4 linked regions of the Rhinolophus ferrumequinum genome follow. The protein of the gene in region 2 interacts with the protein of the main gene of each other region in a pairwise test. Links are inferred from orthologs where the notes say so. Each region holds a gene or a part of one and is shown on either strand. Other genes may lie near its edges. The genes, in order: C14H8orf33, HMBOX1, ASB7 and WT1.

Region 1 (6,615 bases), on a different chromosome or scaffold from region 2:
GCTGGGCAGTAGTACCGGCCCCTGAAAAGCAGACAACGAAGGGGGATTTGGGGCTCATCCCGTGTTCTCAACGATGCCTATGAAACGTCAAAGTAGAGCTGTACAGTGCACAGCTGGGCTCCAGCTATCTGTCTGGTCTGGGATATGCCAGCAAATATGGCCTGCAAGCCACAGGAGGCTTAAGCCACCTGGGAAAGCCGATTCAATAAAGCACAAGCCCTGTACGGCCACGTGGAGCAGCCAATATTCAGAGGTCGTTCACTGAGGCTCCATCCAGGCTTCTCGCCAGGATCCTTAGGGCTAGCAGCTCTCTGCTTCTAAGAACAAAGCCTGGCCGGCTGGGGGGCCACACTGGCTCCCTGAGGATACTTGCCCAGGAATGAAGGCAACACAGACCAAGCACCACAGCTGGGCTGAGCGCCTGGGCCCAGCAGTGCCAGACACCTGCATCATCTGTACTTGGTCTAACACAGGCAATTAGCACACACGCTCATTCATCAATTTTTACAACAAAACAGTTTTATTAGGGCAATATGACACAAAGGAATAAAGCACTACCCCATTTGACAGGACGGCCTTTCATAAGTGAGCACCAAAGTGCAATTATGCAGCTTCCCCTCACCCTCAGCCACTTAATCTAACCCTGAAAACTAAGTAAGACGTTCTTTCCACCACACACTGCCACTCACTTCAGTTTGCTGTAGAAATCTCTCTAGATGGACCTTCCTCTCGGGCGGGAGGAACCATTCACCTGAAATCCTACTAATAGGGTCTTGTGCTTGTATGACACTACTTAATACACTGGTCTCACATCTGCCCACCATCCATGGAACCACATTCACCGACCAGCCGGGGAGAGGCCAATCCCACATCCGTCCAACGGAGCATTCCTGGAAATGCTCCGCACGGGGGACAAAGCCCCACACCACCTGGGGAAGGGGACTGTACCAGGATGGAGAGAGAGGCTAAAAGAAATTGAACTTAAACTCTTCATCAGGAGTGTCCAGGGTTGCTTTGGCTCCCCCTGCTAGGCGAGGCCTGCAAACCCTCCGGCTCTTCTTTCTGGTGGCCTCACCTACAGGCTGCACCTGGGCTGAGTGTGCTGCTGTGGGGGAGGGGAGCGTGTCAGAACTGAGTGATAACAGCTCATGTTAACTATGCCCCTACGACGGTAACCTCTTTGTATAAATTCACTGACCTACTTCTCAAAATTATAAGGCAGGTATTATCACACCTCACTTAACATCACAGAGAAATTCACTAACTCTCCTATCCCTCCCTCCTTGGCACAGGCCCGAGTTCTGTGCTCCTGAGGTGCAGGCTTTCTCTCCCTGCTCCCCCAGGCTTTCCTGAGCCGGTCTCCTTCCCTCACCGGCCCTGTAGCTCTGGGAGTCTTCCTTTAACTGCCTCACCTCTTCCTCCCTACCCCCTTGAACTACGCAGCCCTGAATTAACCAGTTCCCAGCTCCTCACCAGTCCTGAGAGCCCGCAGGACCTCGCGCCACTCGGCTTCCATCTTAGTCCTGTAGTCCCCAAACAAGGAGCGCATCAGCTGCCTCTTCCGGGGCAGGGGTGTTCTTTCGCTGCGCAGGGCTCGGATTGCCCCAATAGCTTGCTCCCCTGCCGACAAAAACAAAGGACTAGGGACCTCCTCTATCCTCATTTCCAACGCAAAACCACCTATTCCAACCCTTGGCGGCACTGGCAGGACACAGCACTGTCACCGTTCACCTTCCCCCAACTCTACAGAAGGGTTCCTCACTCTGTTTTGGGCTGGGTCTCTGCGTCTTGAGGCCCAGTTCCAACTGCTCCACGCACCAGGCCAGTTCTCGAGCCAGCTGCTCCGCCTGTGATGGGTTGGGGACAGTGGCTGAGAGGGTACTAGGACACTGCGGCCTCCACCCTCATCGCAAGGGACCCAAAAACCCCCATCCCATCCCTCTGCCGTAACTCCGCAAATCCGAGACCACAACCGCTTGGAGGACTCGCACCTAGAATGCACCCGGGGACCCCACCCTTCCCGACTGAGCACTGCCCTTGCCTGGGCCTCTGCGCTTAGAGGAGCTTCCTCCGGGGCATGCTTTTCTGAGGCCTTTCCGTCTCCATTCGACACGGAGGCCCCGTTCCGGGTTTTCTTCTTCTTCTTCGGCTTCTTAGAAGCTGCGCCGCCTTCACCGACTACGGGATGCGCCCTGGAGGCGGCGTCACTGCACGTGGGGTGCCCTGAGCAGAGACGGACCGGATGAGACCTTAGAGTGGAAGGACTCGGGGCGCCGGACGGCGGCCGGGAGGCCCGGGGGCTGCGCGGCGCGCGGGCGGTACCTGGACCTGGTGCCGCCGCTGTCTCCCAAGCAGGGTGTCCTAGGGCCTGGAGAGAGGGAGGCAACAAGAAGGTCACGGGGTACAGCCCAGGCCCGGAGGCCCAGCCACCCGCGCCCCCACTCTGCTCCGCTCACCGCCATGCCCCGCGGCCGCACCGGAACTCATGCGGGTCCCAGGCCTAGTTCGCTCCTCCAGAAGCGCGTCCGCGTCGCAGCGTTCCGCCGGCGCGGTGGGCGGGGCCGAGCGGCTGCGGGGCGGGACGGGACGCGGGAGGGCGCAAAGGAGACCCCCGAGCAGGTGTACCACGTGGCAGGCCGCGCCCTGGAGGAAAGGGCAGCGCCCGAAACGAGGGCGCGGGCTCCCAAAGCTCACCTCCCAGTGGAGCGAGACAGGCAGGTGAAGACACGTGAAAAGTTGTCACGCAGCCCCGCGCAGCGCTGTGAACACAGGCGGTGAGTCGGCATCCCTCCGGGGCAAGCACTACCAGAGTGATAAGCTTAATGATAAATACCATGGAATCTAAAGGGAGGTTTGAATAAAGGGAGAGACAGTCTGCATTACTGTATTGGAAGATTTCATATTGTAAAACCACTGATTTTCCTCAAGCTAAGCCTATATATAATCCTTACCAAAATCACAGTAAGACGGCCTGGCACTTTTAAAAAAGGACTTCCCGAGGCAACAGATGGCAGGCCTGGTGGGGCTGGTCCCCGGCGAGAAGGAGGTGGGGGCAGGGCCCTGGGTGCTTTTATTCCGAGCGAGGTGGCGGGCGCAGTGAACTAACGCAGCCTCCCACTGTCTCTGCAGAGTCGGTGCTCGGGACACAGGCGCACAGAGAGCTTTGGGTGTTGGCCCAGCGTCACTGCTGGCCAGGACTGACCTGGGATGGTCCCTGGCAAACTGGCCGGACTCCCCATGCCCTTTTCTTCCTTTTTAGAAACACTCTATTAAGGTATGGTTAGCGAGAATGTTCTGTACACATCGAAAGTGTACAGTTCGGTCGCATTCTCACACGTGCATGCTCATGAGACATTGTCCACTGCAATCAAGATAGAAACGGTTACCCATAAGTTTTCTCGTGTCTCTTTTTTTTTTTTTTTGAAATTCTTGCACTTTTTACTATTAGAGAGTTCTAAGACATTACAAAAGTATTTTTCTTTTTAACCCACATAAGAATTATAATATGCAGAAGAGATGAGAGATTTTTCTTATACAGGCACATAACTGTGCCTCAAACTGTAATTGCTTTTAAATTTATGTTATTATCGCTCTAAAAAGAAAACAAGAAGAGAATCCTGTGAAACTCATAAGACATCCCAGGTGCTTTCAAATGATTCCATTTCACACAGGAACTTCTAAGCAAGCACACTATCGTGTGTGGGTGGGTATCATTTATTCACTCCTCTTCTTCATCTTGTAGACCGGGTGAAGTTAGCTAGAGAAGATCTCGGGAAGAGCACTCATGAATGGAGAAGCATATAGCTGAGTCTATGCATTTTTCTTTTCATTGTCAAATTAGCTGGTCTCTGTACATTGATAAGAAGACTCATCATAAAAATAAAAAATACAAAAAAGAATTGTTGAGATCTCATTTGTTTGCCACACGGAAGTGGTGCAATAGCTCTCAAAGTAAACCACACTTCTTTGAACAGTCTTGTGCAAAAGCTGTGTGGCTCTTCTCACATTCTAATGACAAACCTCAGAGAACTGCCAGCTGTGTTTTCTACAAAGGTTAATCTCCTGCCTCTTTATAATCCCTCCCTCTCACCCCTTCCCTCTTCTGTCCTGAAGCAAGTACTGACCTGCTTTCTATCACTGTAGATTACATCTTGTAGTTTCATCTCACCGGAATTACAGCGTGTGGATTCTTTTTTGTCTGGCTTTTTTTGATTCGACACAATTATTTTCAGATTCATCCGCGTTGGGTGTCGATAATTCTTTTTTTTTTTTTTTAATTCTGATTAGTATTCTGTTGTATGAATGAATATACCACTATTTGTTTATCCATTCTTTGATTGACATCTGGATAGCTATCAGTTTTTAATTGACACAAATAAAGCTGCTGTGAACATCTGTGTACAAATCTTTGGATAACCATACGTTTCCTTTTTTCTTGGATAAATAACTAGGAGTGGAATGGCTGGATTATATGGTAGGTGCATATTCACCTTTTTAGAGCAAGGCCTGATTGTTTGCCACAGTGCTTTTGCCATTTCACGTTCCACGTCCTCACAAACACTTGGGGTGGTCAGTCCTTTTCATTTTAGCTGCTCTGGTAGAGGGGCAGTCGCATCTGTTGTGGTTTTGATTTGAATTTCCCAAACAAGGAGATGTTAAAATTCTTTTCATGTGCTGATTTTCCTTCTTTCTCTTCATTGGTGAAGAGTCTGTGCAGATCTCTGCTGATTCTTTAGCTGGGTTTTTGTTTTCTGACTGAGTTTTAAGGAGTTCCTTTCTGAATACAGGAATGTTCTAGATACAGGTCTTTTGTCAGGTACATGTTTGTGTAGATTTTCTCCCACTCTGTGCTTTGTCTTTTTATTCTCTCAACAGTGTCTTTTGAAGAGAAGACGTTTTAATTTTTTTCCAAACAGTTTTATTTATTTAAGTGTGTATTTCAAGGACCCGTCAGCTCCAAGTCAAGTAGTTGTTTCAGTCAAGTTGTGGAGGGTGCAGCTCACAGTGGCCCATGTGGGAATCAAACCAGCAACCTTGTTGTTAAGAGCACCACGCTCTAACCAACTGAGCAAGTCGACTGCCCCGACGTTTTAATATTCGATCAAGGCCAGTTTATCAGTTTGTTCTTTTATGGATTGTGCTTTTGGTGTCCTATCTAGGAAACCTTTGCCTAACTCAGAAGATTTTCTTCTTCTAGAAGAAAATTTTATAATTTAAAAGTTTTAGGTGATATGTTTAAGTCTGCAATTCGTAATGAGTTGACTTTTGTATCTAATGTAAAGCATGGATTCAAGTTTAATTTTTTTACAGGTGGATGTCTGGTTGTTCCAACACAATTTCTTAAAAAGACTATCGTTTCTCCACTTGCCTTGTCTTTGTGCTTTTGTCAAAAATCAGTTGTCCATCTCTGCGTGGGTTTATTTCTGGACTCTGTTCTGTTCCATTGGTACACTGTGGACAATGTCTTTAACTCCACATTGTTTTGACTACTGAGACTTTATTAAAACTCTTAAAATCAGGCAGTATTAGGCCTCCCTCCAACTTTATTCTATACCCTTAGAGTAATTTTGGCTACTGTAGGTCCTTTGCATTTCCATATGAATTTTAAACTCAGCTTGTTGGTTTCTGTGTGGCCACATAATGGAACTCTCACCAGTGCAATGTGAGTGGAACCATGTGGCCAGGCCAGAGCCTCCACTCGGAGTCTGACGACAGACATGTCCGTGAGACTAGTGTCAGACACACTGCTCCAGAGGACAGCAGAGAACAGGACAGAAAATCAGCCTCCGAACAAGCAAGTCAAACAGAACCCACCAAACAGGGACCCTGCCACATGAGGAAAACAAACTTCTATCTCATCAAGCCCATGCATTTGGGGTCTATGACACACATGGGGAAAACCCTACGAATGTTATGAATGTGGAAAATCATTTAGCCTGAACTGAAGCCTTACTGTTCATCAGAGAATTCACAGTGGAGAGAAACCCTATAGGTGTAATGAATGTGGAAAAGCCTTTAATCGGCGCCCACAAGTTATTGAACATAAGAGGATTCACACTGGAGAGAAACCTTATGTCTGCAGTGACTGTGGAAAGTCATTCAGTGCTTGTCTATCCCTTATTCAGCATCAGAGAATCCATACTGGAGAAAAACCTTATGGATGTCATGAGTGGAAAAACCTTCCATCAACAAGGACATCTTATTCAGCATCAGCGAAATCACACTGGAGAGAAGCCCTATGAGTGTAAGGAGTGTGGAAAGGCTCTCAGCCATAGTTTTAATCTTATTCTCCATCGAAAAACACACAATGGTGAGAAGCCCTATCAATGTAACGAGTATGAATAAGCCTTCAGCGTGCTCTCGTCCCTTGTCCAGCATCAGAGGGTACATAATGGAGAGAAGCCCAATGAGTGTCATAAATGTGGGAAGGCCTTTAGTCAGGGCTCACACCTAATTCACATCAGAAGACTAACACTGGTGAAAAGCCCTATGAGTGTCGTGAGTGTGGGGAAACCTTTGGACAGATCTCTACCCAAATTAAGCATGAGAGAACACAATGGAGAGAAGCCCTATGGATGCAGTGACTGTGGGAAAGCCTTCAGCCAGAGTGCACAC
Region 2 (7,690 bases):
CGGGATGAAATCTTCAGCTGGACAGGCACCAATGCCCTGATTTTCTACTTTTTTCGTAAACCATATGACTTCCACATGCTGAGAATGTTTTATGCTTTAACCTGCAGTAAAGGCTTTACATCATTTTAATGCTCAGGGCTTAAAATACAACAGAATCATCCCAACAAATGCAAGGAAAATATTTGGTTTACTTTTAATTATTTCAACCAGACGACTAGACAGAGAAAGTTGAACGAAAGCTTTTCCCATAACTTTGCATTTCCACAGAAAAAAACAAAAAGAAACTGAGGTAAAGGTGGGTGGAAGAAAAAATACTCTTATCTTTTCCAATCCTTAACAAACATTTTAGTTTATATTTCTAATATAATTATTGAATATTTTAATGTTCTATGTCTAACAGAGTATCTTTCAGCCCGGAAAAAAAAAAAAAAAAAAACCACTCTATTGTGAAGTTATGTAGGATTTTTCTCCAATTTTTGCAAAGTAATATTACAGTCTAAGATAGAAGGTTTAAAAAGTCTGGAAATCTTAGTCTTTAACAAACTAAAGGCTCAGCTTTATAGCAATATATTCTATATTAGAAATTCGAAATTTAGAAGACATCAATTTTTTTTTTCTATTCAGGTCAATCTAAATATATATGCTATCTCATGCTTAGAGTCAGCTTATCTGTGTGAATGATCAACTGCAGAAATTTCAAATGAAAGGTTATAAAACACACCATAAATTATATATTGCATCTCTGTGACTTTCAGTTTTTATGGAATCGAAGGTCCTTTACTGATAAGTTCAAGAATTGATGTTTGGAGCCAAAATGTAAACACACTAAATTTTCAACAGTTGAATGAGAAATTATATCAATTGCTTTAGTTATTTAAAAGTCCATTGCACTAAAAAATCTGTCACATGAGAAAGGTTACTGAAAAACTTCTATTTCAGACAGAAAGAAGTACAAAATATATGATCCTAAATTATCCTGGTGTAATGTTACCAAATATTAAAGACTGTGAGAAACAAGAGATGTTACAATCCTGTTCCCTTTATAACTCTACTGGAAACTTGGGGGGAAAAAATCAGAATTCGAATTTTCCAAACTTGTCTTGTACACATAATTCAACTAAATCTAACTTAGTTGTGCAATGTTAAAATAAGTTTAATGCAAAACACTCTCATCTTGATGTGATAATTACCTGTGGCTAAAAGCAAAATAAAAACAGACGCAGGTCCTTTTCATCTAATGATGTGTTTTACACACAAAACCACAAACAGCACAACCGTCTTAGCACAAACTAAACAGGCACAAGAGGCATTACGTCCATCCAGGAAGAGAAACGTACCAGGCCAAGAGAGGAAGGAAGGACTGAAGGAAGGAAGGAAGGAAAGAAGGAGGAAAGGAAAAGGGAAGGCTGAGGTCTCTATACCTGCAGGATCCCAGCGAAATGAACTAGTCACATCACTCTACGCCATATGAAACACGAGGGTTTTTACAGCTTCAAGGTACATTTAAAAAGCAATCACTTTATACGATTCAACTTTAGATAGTATAGTAGCTTTCATGCCAACTGCATTCTCCCCTTCACTCACCAAATGCCTCCTCACTCTTCCACACCAGGTTTCAGACAAATGCGAGACTGAACAGGGTGGGGTAGAAGCAAAACACCAACAGCGGCTTTCGGCGACTCCCGCACCCCCACCCCCACCCCACCCCCACCCCACCCCCACCTCCAAATAATTTCCAACAGTTTTCCCTACTACGAAAATAAGTCGCCCTATCTCAGGACAGACAACAGTCATTCTGTGTCTTTCGTAGACACACAGAGATGCCTACACCTGTCAGCACTCCCGACCCCCAACCCATGCCCACGACTCTTTTAAGTGATGTTTAATCTATTTAACGCGAAGAAGATGAGCTACCTCTACCTGCTGTTTCGGGGTGAGGGTGGGTGGAGGACTCCTTTCAAAGTAGCCCCAACAGTGTCACCAAAACACGGTTCCGGAATAAAATATTAAGAACACTTTTTCCTTTCCCACCTTATCTGCCGACTTCAGGAGGCAACATTCCATCTCCTCGCCAGCGCGTCCCCACAATGCTCCTGCGGGCAGTTTGGGGTGGAGATGTGTCCAGGGCATGGGGCGGAGGCGGGGAGGAGGAGTGCGATCGAGCAACGGGACACAAGCGAGTTGCTAAGCCCGCACCACGTCGCCTCCAGCCCACAAGTCCAGGATCCGGACCTCACGCCCGCTTCCCTGCCCAGGCCCAGTGAAAAGCTATGGCTCCAGCTATCGAACTTCCCATCTCCAGACATTTATTCGAGACTAACATATCGCACAAGTACACGTCACACAGTTTAGAACAGTTCTACACCCCCAAACAAACCCACCCACCTCCGGTTCACCTCACAGTTTCCCAAACTCCACATAGGAGACCCCACCTCCAGGATTCAAACCTTCCGCCCATAGTGAAGGAGACCAGGAGCAAAGAGTTGGGGAGCTGCCAACGCCTTTCAATTACCGCCCCCCACAAACTGCCCCACCCCAGACGGTGCGACCGGGTCACCATTCGGGAGCCCCCTGATTCCTCCCTCCTCTCAATCGGGCCGCTTAAGAGACCTATCCCCAGCCCACTCACTTTCGCCCCAAAGCCCCTCAAAAAAAAAAAAAAAAAGTGAGGAGAAAGAAGTGAGGAAAGAGACTTGAGGTAGTCCGGCTTGAAAACCTCTCGACTCACCTCGGAATCGTTGCTGAGTTCTCTCCGCTCGGCACAGCCCCCTCCCCAACGTCCCGGTACGAAGAGCTGAGATAGGGAGGAGGGGAAGGCGGGAGGGGGAGGGGTGTCTTCCGCGTGGGGCGCCTGTCGGGAGGGGACTGGGGAGGGGTTGAGGTCCGCGCAGGAAGAGGAGAAGGGGGAGGGGAGGCCCCTATCTCCCAGTCTCCCCCTGAAAACCTCCCTTGTCTCAATCACATCAGACTGACTGTCTTTGTCTGGCTGACAACCGCCATATTGATATCAACAGCCCCGCTCCCACCTGCTGCAGCCAGGCGGCCCTGGGAGTTGTAGTTCCTGCCTCCCTTGAGTAAAAGCGCGCGACTCAGCGTCCAGAGGCCCCAGGGAACTACAACTCCCGGCAAGTCCCGCGCCCATCCGCCTTCCCACAGGGAGGAGGAGAAAGGGGCGCCCGAGCCGTGAGAACTACACATCCCAGAATACCATGGGACCCAGGCCCAGACTCGGGACATGATATCATGCTGGGGTGGAGAGGATGAATTGGCGGCGGGGATGAATTTGAGCTGACGGAAGGAGGTATTTAGAGAAGGGAGGGAAAGAAAAGATAACTACAGTTCCCATGATACATGGATGACTACGTATCCCATAATGCCCCGAGAAGGAGGCGTAGGGAAGAAAAACTGCATGTCCCGCGATGCTCTCTGCGGGCGAGTGGCGGAGCTTGAACCGGAAGATCGCTTCTGGGTTTGAGGTGTCGAGTAACTGGTGTTGAACAATCAAAAGTCCAATATGAAACTGGTGAGTCTCCGCTCCTACTGAGGGCAGTGGCCATATCCTTTTGGCTTCGTCGTTTCCACCTTGGGAAGGGAACCATCGCGAAAAATGGGTGGCAATTAGGAAACTAGAAAGTGGGGTGGACTAAGCAAAGCTGTTTGTTGTTGAGGGGGTTAAAAATCACACCTCTGTACCCCTCACCTCCCACCCCCCATACACAACTATCAGGAGATCTTACACATCCTTGGTGGGTCCCTTTGGTTAGATAAGAGGTTGCCTGTAACATTTTTTCACCGAGGAACTAAGGTTGGATTTATGAACTAGGTTTTTGACTTCTCAGCTGCTACGTGAGTGTTATAATAGGTTATAAACTTATTTCCACGCAATTGACACTTGATTTCACTACCGTTGTTGAGAAACATTTGGTTATTTGTGGGCAAAGGGTAATATTGGGAGGAGGGTAATTACTAAGTTTTCTGTTCCTAATTGATTCCTAATTGCACTTGGAAGTCAGAGAAGGCCGAGGTTAGGGTGTACTCTTAGAGGCTTTGAGTCTTAAACCCTGTGGAGGATATGGATAGGCTGAGAGGAGGTACTCGTATTACATTCAGGAGCGCCCTGCTAGTGGCTAGATAGACGGCTGCCTGATTCATGAATCGCTTAATAAAGCCAATTAGATCTTCAAATTAAAAAAAAAAAAGATTACAGTCTGGGGCTGTAGGCGCTTCATGAGCCAAGGTTAGACGAACGTGCCAATACACCTGGCGTCTTCCCATCACAAAACTCAAACACCTGGCTTATAGGGACGCTTCTCAGGCCTTTCTTTTTAGCCATTTTACTGTCATTGTGCACACAGACCTAACTAATTTATTGCAACTGTGTGGAATTAATAGCATAATTAGGAGAGTAGCAAAGCATGTGTGAGATGCCACACCTTTTAAAATCATGTTCCTGCAGCCAAATATTGTCAAGCTTTACTTTCTGTGATTTTTATAGAAAAACAAAAGATTTATTTTCTTTTTCCATTTATATAATTATTTGAACATGTTTTCCCAAAGTATACATATCCCCCTCATCCCCTCTTTGGCCATTAAACCATGTGATGGGTATGTATTTACTCAGCCAAGTGTCGTCACTGTGTCGCTATTTTCTGAGAAGAAGTTAGAAAAAGTATTAAAAGTAGATTCAACTACAAAATTGTCTTCATTTAAAGTCCTATATGGAAGGAAGAGGATGAAGATCAGGAAACCCTGAGATTATCAATTTGCTCCTGGGTCAGTGTGCTAAATACCTAAGAATGCAGAATTGAAAGTCACCACCCTAGCCCTAAAGAATCATGCCATCTAATGAAGTTAGAAAAGTAAGCCAAAATTATAATTCACTGCATTCGTGATAAAGCAGAGTCCTTTTCAGGGGTTGGGGAATTGAGAGGATAATTGGAGATGGTGCTGAGCGGGGACTGGGGGGGCGTGGTGCCAACAGTCAGCTTCCTGGAAAAGTGACTCTTGAACTGATAAGAAGGATGAGTAGCCGAGGGCCTTCCTTGAATCTTCAGTTTAGGAGCAAAAGAGCTTGTGCCGAAATGGTTGGAGCACAGACCATGTGTCTTCAAGAAAGGATAAATCACATTTGGTGTGCCTGGTGAGAAGGCATGCAAATGTGATGCAGTTTTTCCCTACAAACTCGATTGCTGAGGTTATCAGAGAGCCGTGGTTTACTTTCAATATACTTTGGTTTGCTCATAATATCCTCCCGCTTCATTTCTTTAGAGATGTGAAAACATGGAAGGGAAAAAAGTAGAAATTATTTTCTTTTCTGTAAGAACCAGAAGATGCCTCAGAGGAAGAGGAGGTGTTCTGTCTATGGTCCCTCCTTTTTAACGTTCAATCGATGTATTCCATGTTAAAACTCATTTGGGATTGGATAAGTGGTAATGCAGAATTTCTGTCAACATAGCAAACGGGTTTCAAAAAGATGGACTTCATTAGACGTCTCTTTGTGTGACACGCCTCCCATAGAGTTGGTATAAATCCTCCCATGGCCTAAATGTTTTCACTTTGTGTACTGCTTCAAGAATATGTTGTAAGCAGTGCTTTACATTTATATCATGAAACACAGAAATATACTTTATTGAGCACATTCTTGTTTTTGAGATTATGACTTGCCAAAATACCCTTCCCACTCACAGCGTATGACTGCATCTTGTTGATGCTACTTCTGTTCTTCAACAGGTCTGTTTCTCTCCAGTCCCACTAATACTGCCTTTGTAGGGACTCTTTTCACTTGACACTTGAAATTCAACGAGACCTTCTGTCTAGTCTCCCTGCGTTCCATTTTAACCCTCTCTCCAGTTCATTCACTACCCTGCTTTCCGGAAGTTGTTTTAAATTGCAGAATTCTATAATTCCCTCAGTAGCTTCCTTTGTTCTTAGGATAAAGTCTTATAGCTCTTGACTTACTTGGTCCTGCAGAATATGGCCTTGCCTACTTCCAGGCTCATGTCTAGCCCTCATCTCCCTGGTTCTCTGTGTTCCAATTATATTGCACATCTTCCAGTTCCTTGAACTCTCCCTGCTGTCTTTTGCCTCTGGGAGTTTAAATATGTTCCATTGCCTACAACACTTTTCTGCCTGCCTAAATTTCTTTATATACTTCAGGTCTCTGTTTGAATAGCACTTCTCCATGGTTTTGTGGAATTAGGTACGCCCTCCTCTCTGCTTCCATGGCACACTTCCTTTGGTAGCATTTGTGATTATTGGATTTATTTCTGTCCTCCCTCTTGTAGACTCTCTATTCCCAGGGCCTGACACATAGTGTGACGCTGCTAAATAGCAGTTGAATGAATCATCTCTGAAGGATTATCAAGGTCTGTGAATATCACTGAGAAAAGATTGAGGGGTAAAGTTTAAACATTACAATAAGCTATAATCATTGGAGTAAAAAAAAAAAATTGCTGCCCTTTATGGAGCAATTACTGTGTCCAGGCACTGTTGGAGGTACTCACTAATTAGTTTCCCTTTTCAGTCCTTTGATCTAGGTGATCGTATTCCCATTATACAGATAAAAATCTGAGCCTCAGAGAGGTGAAGTGGCTTGAAGTTACACAGGTGAAAAACGTGGGAGAGCCAAGATCTGAACCCAGGTGTCCTTCCTTAAGCGTCTGTTCCTTACTGAGGGCAAAGACTTGAGACCTTGCATGGTGCGTGACATGTGCTCCGTAGGTTCTGTCTTCAAAGACGGGAAGCCAGAGTGCGTACTGAGAAAAAGGTTATTCAAGGCTATTTATTTTTAAATTGGCTTTAAATGGGAGTTTGGTTAAATTAAGCTCTTCAAAAAGATTAGTGGTAAAAAATTAAAGTTTGGGAAAAAACTTTCTTAGTACTATAAAGGGTTCCATATCAAAGCATACCAATTGAGTTCCCACGTTAGTTTTTATACTATACGATATATAAGCTCTGATACCATTAATAGTTCTCTAACTTTACACATCGTTCTCTTGGTGGCTTTTTATACACCCAAGGGAAGACAATGGATGTCATTATAATGCAATCCTTGGATATCTCCTTCTTAGAGAAATACCAACTGAAAAGATTGAAATGACCGTCTGTAATATGCGGTATTCAAGCAGCTTTATTCAACTGAAGAAAATTCATTGGTACCTTCAGTGAACCAAAATCGTTTTAAAAAGAACAGGAAAATTAGAAATGTATCCTCTAAATTAGCACATTTTAGAGCCTGTTCTGTTTTAGTATAGATTGAGCCTGATTGGGTATACCCTGATGGCCAATTCAGCTAAGGATCGCAACTGGATTTCATCAGGGTCCTTCACGAGAGACCATGGAACAAAAGAAATAGTGAATGCATTGCCAGAAATTGAGTTTGAAACATCATGGCCAGGAATTTAGTCATTCAAATAGATGAAGATTAAAGTAAATAAAATAGTGAGAAGCAGTTCAAGAGTGCAGCATGTCATCCTTCCTATATATAGTTCCAAGATAGAATCTTCTGGTTTATTCGGTCAACAGAGATGCAGCCACCATATACCCTTGGCATTCAAAGTTTCAATACTTGCCATTTGAACTATTATATTTGACCCCAAAGATCGATGACCAGGAACTGTTTGTAATTTTGTTGAGGCACAAATTTCAATGCTACTCTAAGATTAATGATAATCCTTAGTGAATGAGCCTG
Region 3 (7,926 bases), on a different chromosome or scaffold from region 2:
TTTATCTGACTTTAGACATTTTAGGGATAGTATGTACTTCTGTGTTACCAAAGTTAAATGTAACAAAATAGATATTGTTCGTGTCCTAATAGTAAGTAATTGTGAACCGTGTCACTTTAGGTATAAAGAAAATAATTATTGGCCATAGCACATTCAAAATGCATCACTGACTATCTTCAATTAAAATCAGTTATGTTCCCTATGTAATTATAAATCTATATTTGGTTATCAAATTCATCAGGTGGTTTGATTTTTTTTTTTTTTTTTTGGCTTTCAATACCATGTGGCTGGCAATAGAATTAACACAAAGTTAAGTGCCAGGTTGAAAAACATAAACCACCTAACTGGCCATGTTGGTAAATAAGTACCCAAATTAAATATTTTAAATGTTTGGCATAACCTAGACCAGCTATTCTTAATCATGCTAATATTGGAAACAGATGCTGACAACTTAGATATATATTCCCTAATCTCAGGAAAAGCATTAAAAGCTGAGAGAATCAATGAAATATCATTTAAGCAATGAGAATGAACTGGCTGGGGGAACACTCTCTTTACCTTATATGCTTGACTCACCACAGACCTACTCCCTATCATCTCAGGTGATGATACCTCGCAGACAGGAAAATATACTAGACGGAAATCTAAAGCAGACAAAATATTTAACAAAGAAGGACTGAATAGAAACTACATACTTCGCTTTTACCTTCAAAACACACTTCAAATATTTTAGCATTTTTTAAAAGGCCTAATCATTAGGCTGCATTTGGGTGAGTCACATACTTAAATAATGAAAATTGCCTTTAACTTTATAGACTTCAGCCTCGCTTTTACTGAGATGAAGTGGACCCTACATACACTTATCAAGGCTGGCCTATAATTCACTGTGGGACAGCCATTGGTAGACACTCATTTTCAACCCCTTTCAGTAGCACACACTCTCCTTTGGTTATCTGGTTTCAGGTCTCAAGAATATACAAGCCCTCAGAGCCCCTTAAAAGTATCTTTAACTATGTCTTGACAATTAGAAGAATCATGGAAGACGTTAATTTCTTTTTACGCAAGGCAGGAAGACCAGTGGAACAGAGTAAATCTAAGATTTCCTAACAACTTCTGCTATTTTAAGTACGTCTTTGTACCTAAAATTCCCTAAACAATCTGAGATATTAAAATAACTCTGAGATTAACAAGTCACTTTATACTCATGTTACTGGATGTTAGAAGTCATTCACTCGGCTAATTTCTGAATTAACTCATATAATTTCCCTAATATCCCCTCTTTAGAAATTACACGAATGTCCTAAACTTACCTTTAGTGTATTTTCAGAGGCAGCAACAACATATAGTAGTAGAAATGTGATCACACGAATTAGATGCTTACATTTCAATCTAACAAATTCTCTGTAAGGGTTTTGAAATGAGAAATCTTATTTATGAAGAGTGCAAAGAGAAAGCCTTAGGTTCTAAACACACTGAAACATTCCTTTGTTTTTAAATTCTTGAGTGTCAAATGAGTAACAAGATATTATGTAAAGTTTTGTAAGTTTTTCTAGAAAATCTGAGGTGCAACATACTATTTATCTTTTTGTAACAGTTTCAACGCCCATCTACATCTGTCACATTGAAACACACAAAAGCCTGAAGTGTTAATTACACATAAGTGCTTCAGGGAGACTACTGCTTTCATAGGATTAGATTCACTTTCCACTACGAAAAAGTCATATTATTTTCCAAAACTCATAAATTTCAGGTCATTACTGTACCTTCCTCTCCCAAACCCTTGTCAGTCAGGGAACTCAAAAGATATTCTGATGGAGGTAGAGGAAAGGTGACAGGAAGGATTAAGGGGAAAACAGAAAACTGGGATTTAATTAAAAAGCAGACTCATTTAGAATTAACAAGCAATTAAGAAGGAATTGAGGAATTCCTATGAGAGTAAAGGGGGGAACTACAAAAAGGTCTCAAAGTCTCAGAGCAGGGTAAATGGTGCAGTGTACCAAAAAGATAATGCAAAACACGGAAACACTATACAAATAGAAAGGAAGAAAATACGTTTTGGGGGTTGAGAAGTTACTAAAATGTTAAGAATCAGGGCGAAGGCAGCGTTTTTGTTTTTGCTGAGAAACTGGGGGCCAGGAAAGGGTTGCATGCCCAGGTAACCACCCTGAAAACAGAGCGCTGCTTAAGGAGGTAGGGGCCGAGAATAAACAACGGGGCAGGGCAGGGCTGGCTTGTTACCTTTATAGAGAATGATGGTCAGAAGCTCTCTTCTACTTCTCTGGTGGGTGGGCAGACCTCCTCCTGCTCTCTGGACTCCTCTAGCCAACTCAAACCTGGAAATCAGAAACCTGTGAGTGGTGCAGTGCCCGTGGGGCGGGGAGGAGGGGGCTTTGGGGAAGGGAGAGCAAAGGAAGAGAGTGGTACAGGCAGGCAGGAAGAAGCAGTGATTCTCCTCCCGCCCAGCCAGCCCCCTTCCCCTCGGGGAACATAACTGACTTTACCTGTCTCCTCAGCTGCTGCTTCTCTTCTTCCTTTCAGCCTCCTCCACACGCACCAACTTCTCCATTGAAGAAGCACCCCAAAGCAGGGCCGGACACGGGTGTTGCTGACCCTCCTCGGTGGCTCACGGCCCCAACCCCGCGAGCATCCAGACAGCTGAGCAGACGCGGAGAGGCAGTCCTGGCCGCGGGGCAGCCTCGGGGCAGGGGTGCAGGGAGGAAGTCCCGGCTCGGGTTGGGGGGGGGCAGTCCGGGTCTGAGGGCTCGGAGCAGGGGGCTGCCGCGCTCTGGGCCGGAGGCTCCCAGCTACCGGGTAACACGGGAGGTCTCGGAGCAGCGAGGTCCCGGGTCGTAAAGGGTCCGAAGTGTCAGCCGCGGGGGATCCAGGTAGGGGGCTTTCGGGATGCACTTTGCACTGGGCCACCCCCGCCCCCTCCCTCCAGCACTTTGGGGTCACTGGGATGGACCAAGCCTTCAGCAGCCAATCAGCGGCCGCACTAGAGCCTGAGCCTAGAGCCGTAAACCAGGTCCGGGGTGGGTGGAGGTGGGGGGTGGGGCGACTTGGTTGGTTGGTTGCTTCCTTCTCTCCTCCTTCCCCCTGGCAGCCCCCACCCCTTGCCTGCCGTAAAGCCGCCTGCGCATTCGCGACAGTGAGAGGAGGCGTGCCGATCGAGGCTGGGATTCATCTCCGATTGGCCTCCCTCACTTCCCCGTTGGCTTCCCCCCCGTGTCTTCCGATGCTCCGCCCCAGGCGGAGGGACTCAAAGCGGTTGCTAAGAGACACTGCACGCTCAATAGGGCCTCTGCGCATGCGGGAGGCGGGGCCAGCGTGAACTACGGTGGCCGGAGGGGGTCGGGCTTCGTTCGAATGGCGATGCGAAGGCAGAGTGGCTGGAGCGCCATGGAGCCCTGGCAGGTAACTGGGAGCTGCCCCTGAGCTCGGCGGCGGGGGAGGCGTGTGTGCGGCCGACTGAGAGAACGGCCCGAGGGTTCCAGGTGGAGGAGGCGGCAGTCGCCAGGACGCGAAGAGAGGGGGCGCCTCGTCCCGCCGCCCCTCGGCGCTTTTCGGTGGCGGGATGCTTGGCTTGGCTTTGGATTCCTTAGGCCCGTTAGCCAGCAGGCTGGGCGTACCCCCGCCTCACGTGGAAGAGAGGGCTGTTTGGGGGGGATGGCGGGGACGTTTCAAGGGCTTTTCTACGCGGAGAGCGGTTCGCACGGATTCCTGGGAGTGAAGGGGAAAGAGTGCAAGACGTGCGAGATGGACCCGTTTGCTGAGCGCGTTTCTTCATTTTAGCAAGTGGTTACGGGTCGGGCACTGTTCTGGTGAACCAGGTAAGTGCGGTGACTTGTCCCTGTGGACCTTTCACTTTAACCGGGGAGACAGAAAAGCGCACAATTAGCAGACAGAGGGGGAGGCTGTCCAAAAAATATCAAGCAGAAATAATGGGATGGAGTTTGACCCGGACGTGATGGCCACTGTGGATAGTGTCAGCAAAGGTGTCTGAGCAAGGGACAGTTGAGTAGGCATCTGAATGCGGAGGAGCCGGCCATGTCAAGATCGGGGGGGGGGGGGGGATTTTGCAGGCAGAGGGAACCAAAAGTACAAAACCTCTGACGCTGGAATACCCTTTGCCGTTTGTTTATAGGAACTGCAAGAAAGAAGGCCAGGCCAGGGTATTGAAGCGGAGGGGGGAAGGGGGACCATGGATGGGGATGCACTTGGGGGGGTGGGGTAGGACGAAGAGCTTCGATGCAGGACCTTGGAGGCCGTGGTAGGGAAGTTATAGCATCTTCTGTATGTTTTGAAAGCATCCCTGACTGCTCAAAGGAAAAGACTGGCGGGGAGCTGGGTGACTGCAACTATGGAAGGCTATTGTCCAGGCAAGACTCAGCCGTCCGACACCCCAGACATTTGGCTGCCACCAACGTTTTCAAAGAAAATTATGTCATTTCTAATTATATAAAAGAAGTGATTTCAACGTATCAGCTGCTTTTATGTAATAAAATATGTTGTTCTGTGGAAGATGGGGACCACTACAAACACTTTCAGTTTGCCCCGTGGTATATATTTTTTTACACTGTTAACTCATTTGTTCAAGAATACTCATTTGGGTGCCTCCCATGGGAGCTACCTGTTGGCTACGTAAGCAAGCTCAGTCCTGCCCCAGGAAGCTCACAGTCAAGTGTGAACCAAACTAGAAAATACCTTTGGACAGTGCGGTGAGATCAATACTGTGGGATAGGCTGAGAGAGCAATTGGCAGGGCCCTCAAACCCTGCTTGGATCTATGGAAGGCTCCATGGGGACTGGAGGTTTCCAAGTTGAAGGTTGAGAGTAGGAGGGAGACAACTGGGTATGATTTAGTCAGAAAGAATGGACTCTAAGCAAAGCACTGGGAAAGAACTCCGAGAAAGTCTGGAGCTTAGTTTTGGGGGCACTGAGGTGAGAAGACCCCAAGAGTCAGATCTTGAAGGGCCCGCTAAGCTGTGTTCAGAGGTTTGGATTTTATCCAAGGAAAGTGCAGAGGTTTTTTTCAGAAGAAAGTGGGTGTTGAGTAGGCCAAGAAATAACCACTTAGGCAAGGAATCTGCTGCAGTGTCCAGGGTAGATGTGCACTAAATAGTGGCTGTGCAGGTGGAGAGAGGTGGCATGAGGAAGGGTCCAGGAGGCCGTCTGGGTTTCTAGCTTGGGTGACTAGGAGATACAGATGCCATATACTGAGATACGGGCAGTGTAGGAGAAAACACGTTTAAGAGGCCATAGAACGAGTTGAGTTTGAGCTGAAGGTGCTTGTGGGACCCCCGAGTGGAACTCTCCAGGGGCGTTTAGATGCTTGAGTATAGAGACCAGAAGACAGACCCTAACTGGATTCTGAGGTTGTTAGCTTGGAGATTATTGTAACATTGTAATGTAGTGTGGAATCAGGAAGCTGGTGCCTCCAGCTTTATTCTTTCTCAAGGTTGCTTTGGCTACTCAGGGTGTTTTGTGGTTCCATGGAAATTTTAGGCTCATTTGCTCTATTTCTGTGAAAAATGCCATCGGAATTTTGGTAGGGATTGCATTGACTCTGTAGATTGCTTTGGGTAATACGGACATTTTAACAATATTAACTCCTCCGATCCATGAACAGGGACTATCTTTCTATTTATTTGTGTCTTTTTCAACTTGTTTCATTAAAATCTTATTCTATACAGGTCTTTCACCTGCTTTGTTAAATTTATTCATAGGTATTTTATCCTTTTTGATGCAATTGTAAATGAGTAAATAAGATTAAGATTGTTTTCTTAATTTCTCTTTCTGACATTGTTTGTGTATAGAAACACAACAGATTTTTGTATATTGCCTTTGTATCCTGCCACTTGACTGAATTTGTTTATTCTAACAGTTTTTTGGTGGTCTTTAGGGTTTTCTGTATATAATATGTCATCTGCATATAGTAACAGTTTTACTTCTTTTCTTTCTAATTTGGATGCCTTTTATTTCTTTTTCTTGCCTAATTGCTCTGGCTAGGATTTCCAATACTATGTTGAGTAGAAGTAGTGAGAGTGGGTACGTTTTTCTTGTTCCTGATCTTAAAGGAAAAGCTTTCAGTTTTTCACAATTGAGTGTGGTGTCAGCAGCAGGCTTGTCGTGTAGGACCTTTGTTATGTTCAGGCATGTTCCCTCCTTAACCACTTTGTTGAGAGTTTTTCTGATAAACATGTCGAATTTGCTCAGATGCTTTTTTTCTGCGTCTGTAGAGATGATCATATGCTTTTTATCCTTCATTTTGTTAATGAGGTGTATCACATGCACAGATTTGGGGATGTTGAACCATCTTTGCATCCCTGGAATAAGTCCCACTTGATCATGGTGTATGATCCTTTTAACACATTGGGTTACAAACCTGAATTAGGTTTGCTAATATTTCATTGAGAATTTTTTTGTGTATGTTCATCAGATAATATTGGCCTGTAATTTTCTTTTCTTGTGGTGTCTTTGTCTGCTTTTGGTATCCGGGTAATGCTGACCTTGTAAAATGAGTTTGGAAGCATTCCTTCCTCCTCTGGTTTTTTTTTTTTTGGAAGAGTTTGAGAAGGATTAGTATCATTTTTTTTTCTTTAAGTGTTTGGTAGAATTCACACTGAAACTATCTGGTCCTGGACTTTTGAGTGTTGGGAGGTTTTTGATTACGGATTCAATCTTAGTAGTAATCTGTTCATTCAGCTATTCTATTTTTTCATGATTCGGTCTTGAGAATGTTCCTAGGACCTTATTTCTTCAAGGCTGTCCAGTGTGTTGGCCCAGAAAACCATATTTAAGCTTAAAAGAAAAGGAAAAGTAGGTGGAAGAGCTTTCTAGGCAGAGGGAACAGCATTGTCTCAAGGTCCAGAGTCAGAAAGGAACCTTTCAGAGTGAATAAAGGAGTATTGGCATCCTCTCACTTAAGTTGTATAAAGGTTTTCACCATAAAAGCCCTGCGCTTTCTCAAATCTTTTAGTGTGTGCTACTTTGCTGAGGTGGGGTAGGTAACCTTATTTTTCAACTGGAAATCAAATCTGTTTTGTGTGTACAGTATTCAGAATTCAAAAATTAAGTAAAATGTCACATTTATAGACATTTGGTGGGGTTTTTTTGGTGGGGGGGCGGGGTGGGCAGGAGGAGGAATGGAAGGGGCCTCGATTGGTGAAAGGGAATGGGTGCAGAAACATTTTATTCTGAAGCCTCACTTAAAATGTAGAACCATATTTTAACAACTAAGAGTAGAAACGTTTTAGTTTTTTTGTTGATACACTAGAGATTTTCTATTTTTTAAACAAATTCTTAGCATTCATGAAAAACCAAATGAGCTCAGAATGAGCTCAGATTCCTCATCGGTAAAATTGAGATTGGTCAGTGGTTGTCAAAGTGTAGTTCCCAGTCCAATTTTTGGGCCCTCCCCGGACCCACCGAATTACAATTTCTGGGTCTGGGCTTCCTATCGTGTTCTTTGAGAACCACTGGTCTAGATCATCTCTGAGCTCTTTTTCTGGTACTAAGATGCTCTGATTGTAATGCCCAGCACCTGTCTGTACTAGTACGTAAACAAGTTTGTGTTTGTCTTTGTCTTAACAGCGCTGTCTGGGAAAGATACATGTGAGTTGTTCTGTTGATCAGGTTTGTGTTAAATGCTGCTATCCTTCCGTTATGCCCGCTTTCTGCAAACAAAATTACTTCATTACTTGTCTAAACGAATCCAGGCTGCTTGTGAATGTATCCCCAAGCCTGGCTTTGATTCCTGCATCCGGGCCAATGAAAGGCCAGCTAGGATCCCGAATCGAGTTGTTGAGATGAATGTGACGTCTTATGCAATTTCCCACCTTTGAGATTGTGCCCTGCCCTCCTTTCAGTAAGCAGGTGCTTACTGCATTTCTTTTGGAGAATCTGGCACTGCAGCATTGTTTTCAGG
Region 4 (7,415 bases), on a different chromosome or scaffold from region 2:
TGTTTTCACTGCAAGAGAAAACCTAAGCCTGTAAACAGAACCAGGTTTACAGGCCGTGGCTCTGAGTCTGGGACCAGCCCTCCAGTGGGCTCTTCCTTAGGGTGGAGAGGAGGGAACTCCTTCACCTGTGAGTCCTGGTCCCCAGTTCTCAAACCTTTTTCTTTTTTGCTGCAGGGCCTATCTACTAGAAAGGAATTTGGATTTTCCGCTTAAGTGTAGTGTGCGCTTTGGTTAAAATTCCAGTCCGCTACCCCACCCCACTGTGGGTTAATGGGATCCTGGGCACCAGACCTGTTCTGTGGAAGACTGGATACAGGGGCCCAAACAAAGCGACAGAACACAGGTTCCAAAATCTTCACAGTACCTAGATAGACTCAAATAAATAATGGCACGGTATTTTGTGGTAGGGGGGTACATCGATCAAATGACTTCTCGGGCCTCTCCACATAGCACACATCCATAGAGAGACTCACTCTCATCACACACCTGCCTGCCAGTCCTAGCCAGAAGGCAGGCCAGTCAAGTTTAGGTGGACTGCTCTGCGTTCTGTATTTAGAAGGCAAAGCCCAGGGAAAGTTGGACTTCTGCATCTATGGCACAGAGATTCAGGCCAGACCCAGTTTCCGGGTTGCCCATCACAGCTCCTCTCTTACAAATGGAGAAACTGAGACGTTGAGATTTGCCAAAGGTAACAGCAGCCTGCTCATTAGAGGTGGCAGGATAAGAGAACACAAGCCTCACCACGGGCACTGGGCTGTTCCAACACCCCTTGAATCTGAAACACTAATTTCATTTACAGAGACCTACAGTGGAGAAACCCCATGGGTCTGCTTAAGATTCCTCCATGGGTCACAGATCCCAGATTCCCTGGATGAAGAGAGGAGGAGGGTGGTTTAGCTTTTGCCAGGACTTCTGGTGGGCCAGGTGCTCCTCGCTGGCCCTAAGGTAGAGACAGGCAGCCTGGAGATACGAGTTTAGAAGGTGAGCGCTTCCTGGTAAAGAACAGAGACCTTCTTCCGTGCCTTGGGAGACCCGGAACCTATTGCAAACAGTACGCACTCTGCTTCTCCCATCCCACGCATTCCAGAAACATCCCGGTCCCTAGGCCCGTGCGAAATTTTGCTCCAGGAAAAGCATCTGCCATGGTGTCTGTAAAGAATTTCCTAAAATATCGAATCAACCGGAGTTGGTTTGCGTTCTCAATAGCGGAAAAGTCCAATTAGAATAAATTCCGAAACCAAACAGCAAGGGCTCGGCCTGGCTGGTTCCTGAGAAAGAGCTGTGCAGGTGCCAGCGCAGGATGAGAAAACTCACGTTTGTGACCCGCGATGTACAAAGACTGAAAACGACAAATAAACCTGTCCTTGTTCTACCCCCCAAGTCTTGCAAAAATCGTTCCCCGGGCTGAGCCCCGCATTCAACGATGAGGAGGCGCCTGACGCTAGAGCCTCATTGCTTTGCCTATAATAGGACCTGGTCCCGCACAGCTTGTAATCGGACAAATGGGGTCCTCTTCCAGCCCTGGAGCCCGCTTGGCCACCACCTGAGCGGGAACCAAAAAGAGATCTGCTGCCATACAACCACACGGGGAGCCATACTCGGACACAAGGTGGTTCCAAGAAAGCCACTGATTAGTTGCTAGCCCGCTCATGTACTCCTTCTAGTGCTCCATGATACTTATCGAGCATCTAATGTTAAGAGCCAGAGCGGCGCCTGCACATTTTGGCGCGAGGGAGGCGGCACGGGCTGCTCACCCTGCGCGGGTCCCACTCCAGAATCCAGAGTCGAAACGCCTAAAAAGTCCAATGCCTAGTGACAGTTTGGTGAAGCGACAAAATCCCTTCTGAGACGAACCTAGACACTGCACAAGTTCCCCCTTCCCACTCTAACGGGGATTTGAAGTACCGGAATCTCCAAGGGTCGGAGGGGCCCCAGATGACCTCCCGGCTGGTGCGAACAGTCGGATTCCCGAGAAAGTCAGGATCCCACGCTGGAGCGTACTCCCTCTCCCCGGAATCCTCTCTCCCCAGCTGCTGCTTCCGCTACCCTCACAGTCCTTGGGGAGGCAGCCAGGTAAGAGCTGGGGTCAGGAAAGAGGTTGGACAGGGTAGTGCCCAGGCACGGCAATAGCCCCTTCGCCACCGCCCCCGGTGTAGGGGGCGCTCCCCGGCCTGCTTACCCTGGTTGCGAATAGCGGGCTGGCTCTCGAGGCAGCTGGGCAGGTAGGGAGCGTTGGGGAACATCCTGGCCTGGCCGGAGGACGCCTGGCTGGGAGGAGGAGGACCGAAGGGTCCGTAGCGACAGGCTCCAGCTGTGCCGGTGAACTGGCCGGAGAAGTGGACAGTGAAGGCGCTCAGGCACTGCTCCTCGTGCGGCTCCGCGCCGCCCCAGCTCGGCTCCTGTTTGATGAAGGAGTGAGGCGGCGGTGGCGGGGGTGGCGGCGGGGCCGGCGGCGGCGCAGGACCGCCCAAAGAACCGTAAGCCGAGGCGCCCGGGGGCGCAAAGTCCAGCACGGGTGCCCACTGCGCGGCGCCGCTCACAGGCAGGGCGCAGCCGCCGCCGCCACCCAACGAGGGTACAGCTGGCAGCAGCGCGTTCAGGTCCCGCACGTCGGAGCCCATTTGCTGTAGTTCGGCCCCGGACGGCCCGCGGCCCCTCCGGCCTTGCAGACTCTCGGTGCTCCACTCGGTCGCTCCTAACTTGGCCCAGATGCTACTTGGGCCCCGGATCCCCGGCTGCTCGGACTGCGGAAGACACCCAGGCCCGGAGCGGACCGTGTGCGAACACGCCGGCTCCGGGGCACACGTGGAAGCCGGGTCCTGCGGCAGAAGGAAGTCCAGGATCGCGGCGAGGAGGCGGCGGGGCCCGAGCTCCTGGGCTGCCGTCCCGGTTCTGGGTGGCTGAATGAGTGGGAGGGCGGGTGGGAAGGGGGGAGCAGACAGGCGGTCAGGTTGCGGAGAACCCCCGGGTGTGGGCGCTGCCTTGAACTCCTTACCCCAGCTGCCTGGCTGCCCCCAGCTTCTCAAAGCTCAAATAAGAGGGGCCGGCGGCGTGGGAGGAGGAGGAGTCAGGAGTCTCCGCCGCTCCATTCACACCGTAGCCCAAGCGGGTCCAGGCAGCGCGCGCGGCTCCTCTGGGGCGCCCTCGCAGTGGGGGTGGGAGGGCGGGCCTGAGGGAGCGTCCCTCTCCGAGACACCCTCCTCTCCAACCGCCACGCGCTCTTAGCTGGCCTGTGGGACACAACCCTCCCCCTACCTCCCCTTCTCGGCCTTCGTGAGTGTGGGCGCCTCGAGCCACTGACGAGTCTCTTCAGGTGAGCAGTGAATGGCCCCTCTGCATCCGTGTATGACGGCGGTAGGGATGGGGTTGTTAATCTGAGAGGGCGGGTTGGAGGGAGGGGCAGGGGGTGCTCCACGAGGGCGGGAACTTCAGGAAAGCGCAGAGAACTTCCCCGGACTCCAAAGAGGCGGATTCCCTTGCTCAGCGCGCGCGAGTCCGGCTCTTGCGCCTAGAACCATCGGGCTGGAGTAGTGGTCATAATCTTGGGGTCACGGAGGGGGGGCGCGGAAGCCCCTTGTGGGTTCCGAAGGCCAGACTCAAGGTGAACGTGGATGACCAGAAGGGATTGCATCAATTGTGATAAGCCGGGCGTATTTCGATCGTCTGGTAGTTGATTACTTGGTGAGGTTGCTGCCTACCTAAAATCGGTGTCATCTGCACTTAACTTCCCTTTCTGCTTAACAGTATCTGACTCTTCTACGGTGAAGCCAGGAAAACAGCGGCTAGTTTGGGAGGGAATAAAACACAGGGAAACTCCTATAGCCTGCATATATTCCTGCCGGAGAATGCTGGCGCCCAGGTTGGGGAGTGGGCAGGGTTTGGGTACAAAGCCCCCAGGGAAGGGTGGCTTTTGGAGCCGCTCCTGCCGAGCTCTGCTTTCATCCACGGTTGGCAGTACCATTCTGGATTCACAATGACCGATCAGAAGGCAAGTCGGTTAGGCAGACCGAGGAGGAGAGCCTCCAAAGGCCCACGGTCCCACACAGTGTTCTTACGGTTGGGAGCTCCAAGCGCCTGGTATCGCCAAATCAGACTCCTCCTTCCACCTAGTCACTGTTTGGGAGCCCGGGGTCCCAGAGCAGGTATTTGAGGTTCTGTGTCCCCCCCCCCAAAAAAAAGAAATAGCATCTATCGGGAAACTGACGCTAGGCAAGGAGAAGCGCCAAGAATCCGGATTGGAGTGCGTTTCAGGGGCGCGTGGAAACGCCCAAGAGAGCCAGGAGGCAGCGGCGACCGCGCAGCCTGGGACCACCAGTAGCTCCGAGCAAAAAGCGACCGGTTGCCGCCAGGTCTCCTACACCAGGCTGGCAGGGGATAGGGCCCACAGCTTTCCAGCCTAGCCCATGTGAAACAACAATCAAGGTAGTTGCAGTTTTACAAAAATGCCACGGTTTGGAAAGCCTAGACGGTTTCTTCACGGTTTCTTACACTTTGGTTTTAGTTAATTTGCCTTGAGTAAACGAAGTAGCGGCGTGTTCTGGCTACAAACTCGAAAGCGTGTGCCGACCCTGGACCTACACGCTAAGCGCAATCCCCTCCTCTTGGGGTCGCTCCTTCGGGGGGCGCAGGAGTCCCATGAGCGCAAAGGCCGGGAACACCCGCTACCTTCTTGCACCCTCATTCACCTTCGCAGTCATGGACACCTCTCTGCGCTGCTTTAGTGTCTGGCTTTGCTTCGTCTCCACTCAAGCTTTTTGAAGAAATGAAAAGGCTCTAGAGGCCAGTTCCTTCTCCCCACTACACCCTCTGTGGGCCACCCACTCCTCTCCCGCAGGCCTCATTTCAGCCGGCCGCGGGGATCCAGAGCTAGACAGAGAACGTGCACGATTAGTCATTTTGATGGAGAAAGTCCCCTGAGACGAAACTTCTCATGCCATGTTGCCCCTAGAACGCCTTAGACCCCTGTCTCACACCTCCCACTTTTATTTCTACTTTGAAGTCGTTTTTTCTTAACTAGTGTTCTCTCAAGCTCTACGAGGGAAAGCGAGCCGCTTTATGGAAAGCCAGGGATCTGTTTCCAAACGAAAAGGTCGAGATTTCTCCTTTGCAAAATTTTTTTAAGGGGGGTGGTATTTGAAAGAGGATAGCTTGAATGTGAGCTTTTGTGTTTTTGAATTATAGATAGGGCAAAGGCGCCTAACTCTCTGCCTTTACGTATAACTGGGGGGAAAAAAGGTTTTTGCCCAGGGGTGGGGTAAGAGAAAAGGGGAGTCGAGCAAATCCTGGAGAGATCCCCATTTCAACCCTGGAGTGCTCCCTCGCCTCGACCTCGTAGTCCGAGGAGGTGGGAGGAGTTCCTTGCAAGGAGTTCCTCAGCGCGAAGAAGTAAATGCTGCTCGTCCAGAGCCGCGGGAGGTCCGAGGACCTCACCCTAGAGGAAGTCTCTGAACGCCCCCTACCCATCCCCAACCCTGGGAGCCCCTACGCCAATGCCGGGGAACCCGCAAAGTACTGCGGCTGCAGGGCGCCCCACGCTCCCCACTGCTCCCTTTCATGGGTAACATTCTCTGCGGGAGCTCTGCGGTTACACAGGCGGCTGCGCCCGCCGCACTACCATCGGCTCGCTGAGCTGGTCGGAGGGGCTGACAGTCTGGCCGCGAGGAAAGTTCACCTGCTGCACCTCTTGTAGGTCGAGGCCCACCCGTGGTCCGGGGGAAACAGGGACTGCGGAAACCTGGCCGCTGCTTTCTCTCACCCACCTTCCCAGTGGGATCAGCGCTAAAGCCTGTGGCGCACAGGATCATTTGCTTCACGGATTGGCAGAAATGGAAATTCATTTCCTCACTCTACAGAGAAGGAAACTGAGGCCCAGACATAGGGAGGAAAGGCAGCTGTAGAGTGCAGTGGTTAAGAGCAAGGGATTAGTAGCCAGAGAATGAATGTAATATCATCTCTATCAGGTAACCAACAGCGGTGTAACCCTAGATTTCCTAAACTAGCCTCTCTGAGCCTCAGTTTCCTAATTGGTCAAACGGGATAATGTGATGCTTGCGCCTACCTCATATGGGGTTGTGAGGATTAGAAGGACGATTGTATTGGCCTATGTACACAATAAACGTTACAATTTTTGTTACTATTATTGTTCAAAAATACTAGCAAGTTAGTGGCAAAGCCAAGCTGAAAACCCAGGTCTCTTAACGTCCAGCTCAGGGCTTTACCCACCACCACCACCCCTCTGCCTCTCTCGAGCTAACGGAATGGAGAATAAAGGAAGGAAGGGGAGAGGAGGGAAGGGAAGGGAGGGGGAGAAAGAGAAAGAGAGAGAGGCTGGAAACCCATGTGGCTTTGATACACTGGTAAAGCGCATCTTGGCCTGGAAGGTGCTTAATTATTGCAAGATCAAAAAAATCGCGACTGAGTGGGAGGGGGCAGTGAGGACCTATAAACTCTTCACTTTGACCCCGCGCTGTCAACTGCAGCCCACCAAGCCCAGAGCAGGGCCCTGCAGCCGCGGCCCTACAGACTAGCGAGTACTACCCGGCTGCGCTACGGGCGTCACCCCCGTTTGCAGACAACTGAGTAAACACACCGACGCGCTGCGATCTGTAAAAAGCTGGGGTCGCCTGCCCGCGCCGGGAGGAACAGGGACTTTTATGGTGCCTAGTGCAGGGGCCAGCGCCCTGAGATCCACGCGCAGCTCCAATAGCCTGACCGCTGCTCCTCTCCTCCCCTCCGACTCCAGACTCCAGCTCTTAAGAATCTGTCTACCCCTACCCCGGGCCGCTGGTCAGGCGCTTAGGCTGCTTTCCAACACCGTGCTAGTGGTAGAAATCCCAGCTACACTTCTTTAAATTAAAAAAATAATAATAACTAATAATAATAAAGGAGGGACTTTTGTTATAGTCCACCCCCACCTCCCCACCCCGCTTCCGCTGTTAATTTGAAAATTAACTCTTTCTTTTGACCAATCCTCCCCATCGACGTTTCAAACTTAATTCTCTGACCGGGTTTGGGGGTCCAGGATGGGTGTGCACTACCAGGTGCGCAGTGCAAAATTTCCCCCTGTCCCCCAGCTCGCGGTGCCTGGAACCGTCAGGGTTACCCGTCTGTTCTGATGCCACCGCGAAATGGTCCCGGAGCTCCCAGAGAGTCCCCAATGAAAGGATTCTGCAGCGCTGCCTCTATTATTATATCGTAAATCTTTTTAAATTCTGGAACTAATTATATAGAGGATATGTCTCAATTTGTTCTGCATTAATGCCACAGTGGGGATGGAGGCCTGGCCGTGGCCAGAGCAGATACGTAGGCCCATGAAATTGATGAACTGAGAGTTGCTTCCAGTCCTGAGCGCACCATCTGGAATTCCAGTCTGAGGTTACAATTAGAACTCCTGACCCCAGATTCAACTTTGCAAA

What was found.
Region 1: the proteins of HMBOX1 (region 2) and C14H8orf33 interact in binary tests that used the Homo sapiens proteins (3 or more experiments, as listed by UniProt). The two-hybrid records come from large-scale screens. The link is inferred for Rhinolophus ferrumequinum from reciprocal best matches to the Homo sapiens genes HMBOX1 and C8orf33.
Region 3: the proteins of HMBOX1 (region 2) and ASB7 interact in binary tests that used the Homo sapiens proteins (3 or more experiments, as listed by UniProt). The two-hybrid records come from large-scale screens. The link is inferred for Rhinolophus ferrumequinum from reciprocal best matches to the Homo sapiens genes HMBOX1 and ASB7.
Region 4: the proteins of HMBOX1 (region 2) and WT1 interact in binary tests that used the Homo sapiens proteins (3 or more experiments, as listed by UniProt). The link is inferred for Rhinolophus ferrumequinum from reciprocal best matches to the Homo sapiens genes HMBOX1 and WT1.

What each region holds. Positions count from the first base shown.
Region 1 is NC_046297.1:73,371,250-73,377,864, reverse strand, and holds C14H8orf33 (UPF0488 protein C8orf33 homolog), read right to left. Parts: upstream 2,463-6,615; coding exon 2,457-2,462; intron 2,369-2,456; coding exon 2,323-2,368; intron 2,224-2,322; coding exon 2,042-2,223; intron 1,848-2,041; coding exon 1,763-1,847; intron 1,621-1,762; coding exon 1,474-1,620; intron 1,106-1,473; coding exon 966-1,105; 3' UTR 508-965; downstream 1-507. Other genes in the region: ZNF16 (zinc finger protein 16), read left to right, coding at 2,461-2,774.
Region 2 is NC_046301.1:29,851,780-29,859,469, reverse strand, and holds the start of HMBOX1 (homeobox-containing protein 1), read right to left. Parts: upstream 3,014-7,690; 5' UTR 2,729-3,013; intron 1-2,728. Other genes in the region: INTS9 (integrator complex subunit 9), read left to right, coding at 3,515-3,523. UniProt on the Homo sapiens protein: Binds directly to 5'-TTAGGG-3' repeats in telomeric DNA. Associates with the telomerase complex at sites of active telomere processing and positively regulates telomere elongation.
Region 3 is NC_046311.1:12,375,639-12,383,564, reverse strand, and holds the start of ASB7 (ankyrin repeat and SOCS box protein 7), read right to left. Parts: upstream 3,012-7,926; 5' UTR 2,502-3,011; intron 2,334-2,501; 5' UTR 2,239-2,333; intron 1-2,238. UniProt on the Homo sapiens protein: Probable substrate-recognition component of a SCF-like ECS (Elongin-Cullin-SOCS-box protein) E3 ubiquitin-protein ligase complex which mediates the ubiquitination and subsequent proteasomal degradation of target proteins.
Region 4 is NC_046294.1:25,032,238-25,039,652, reverse strand, and holds the start of WT1 (Wilms tumor protein), read right to left. Parts: upstream 3,001-7,415; 5' UTR 2,622-3,000; coding exon 2,180-2,621; intron 1-2,179. UniProt on the Homo sapiens protein: Transcription factor that plays an important role in cellular development and cell survival. Recognizes and binds to the DNA sequence 5'-GCG(T/G)GGGCG-3'. Regulates the expression of numerous target genes, including EPO.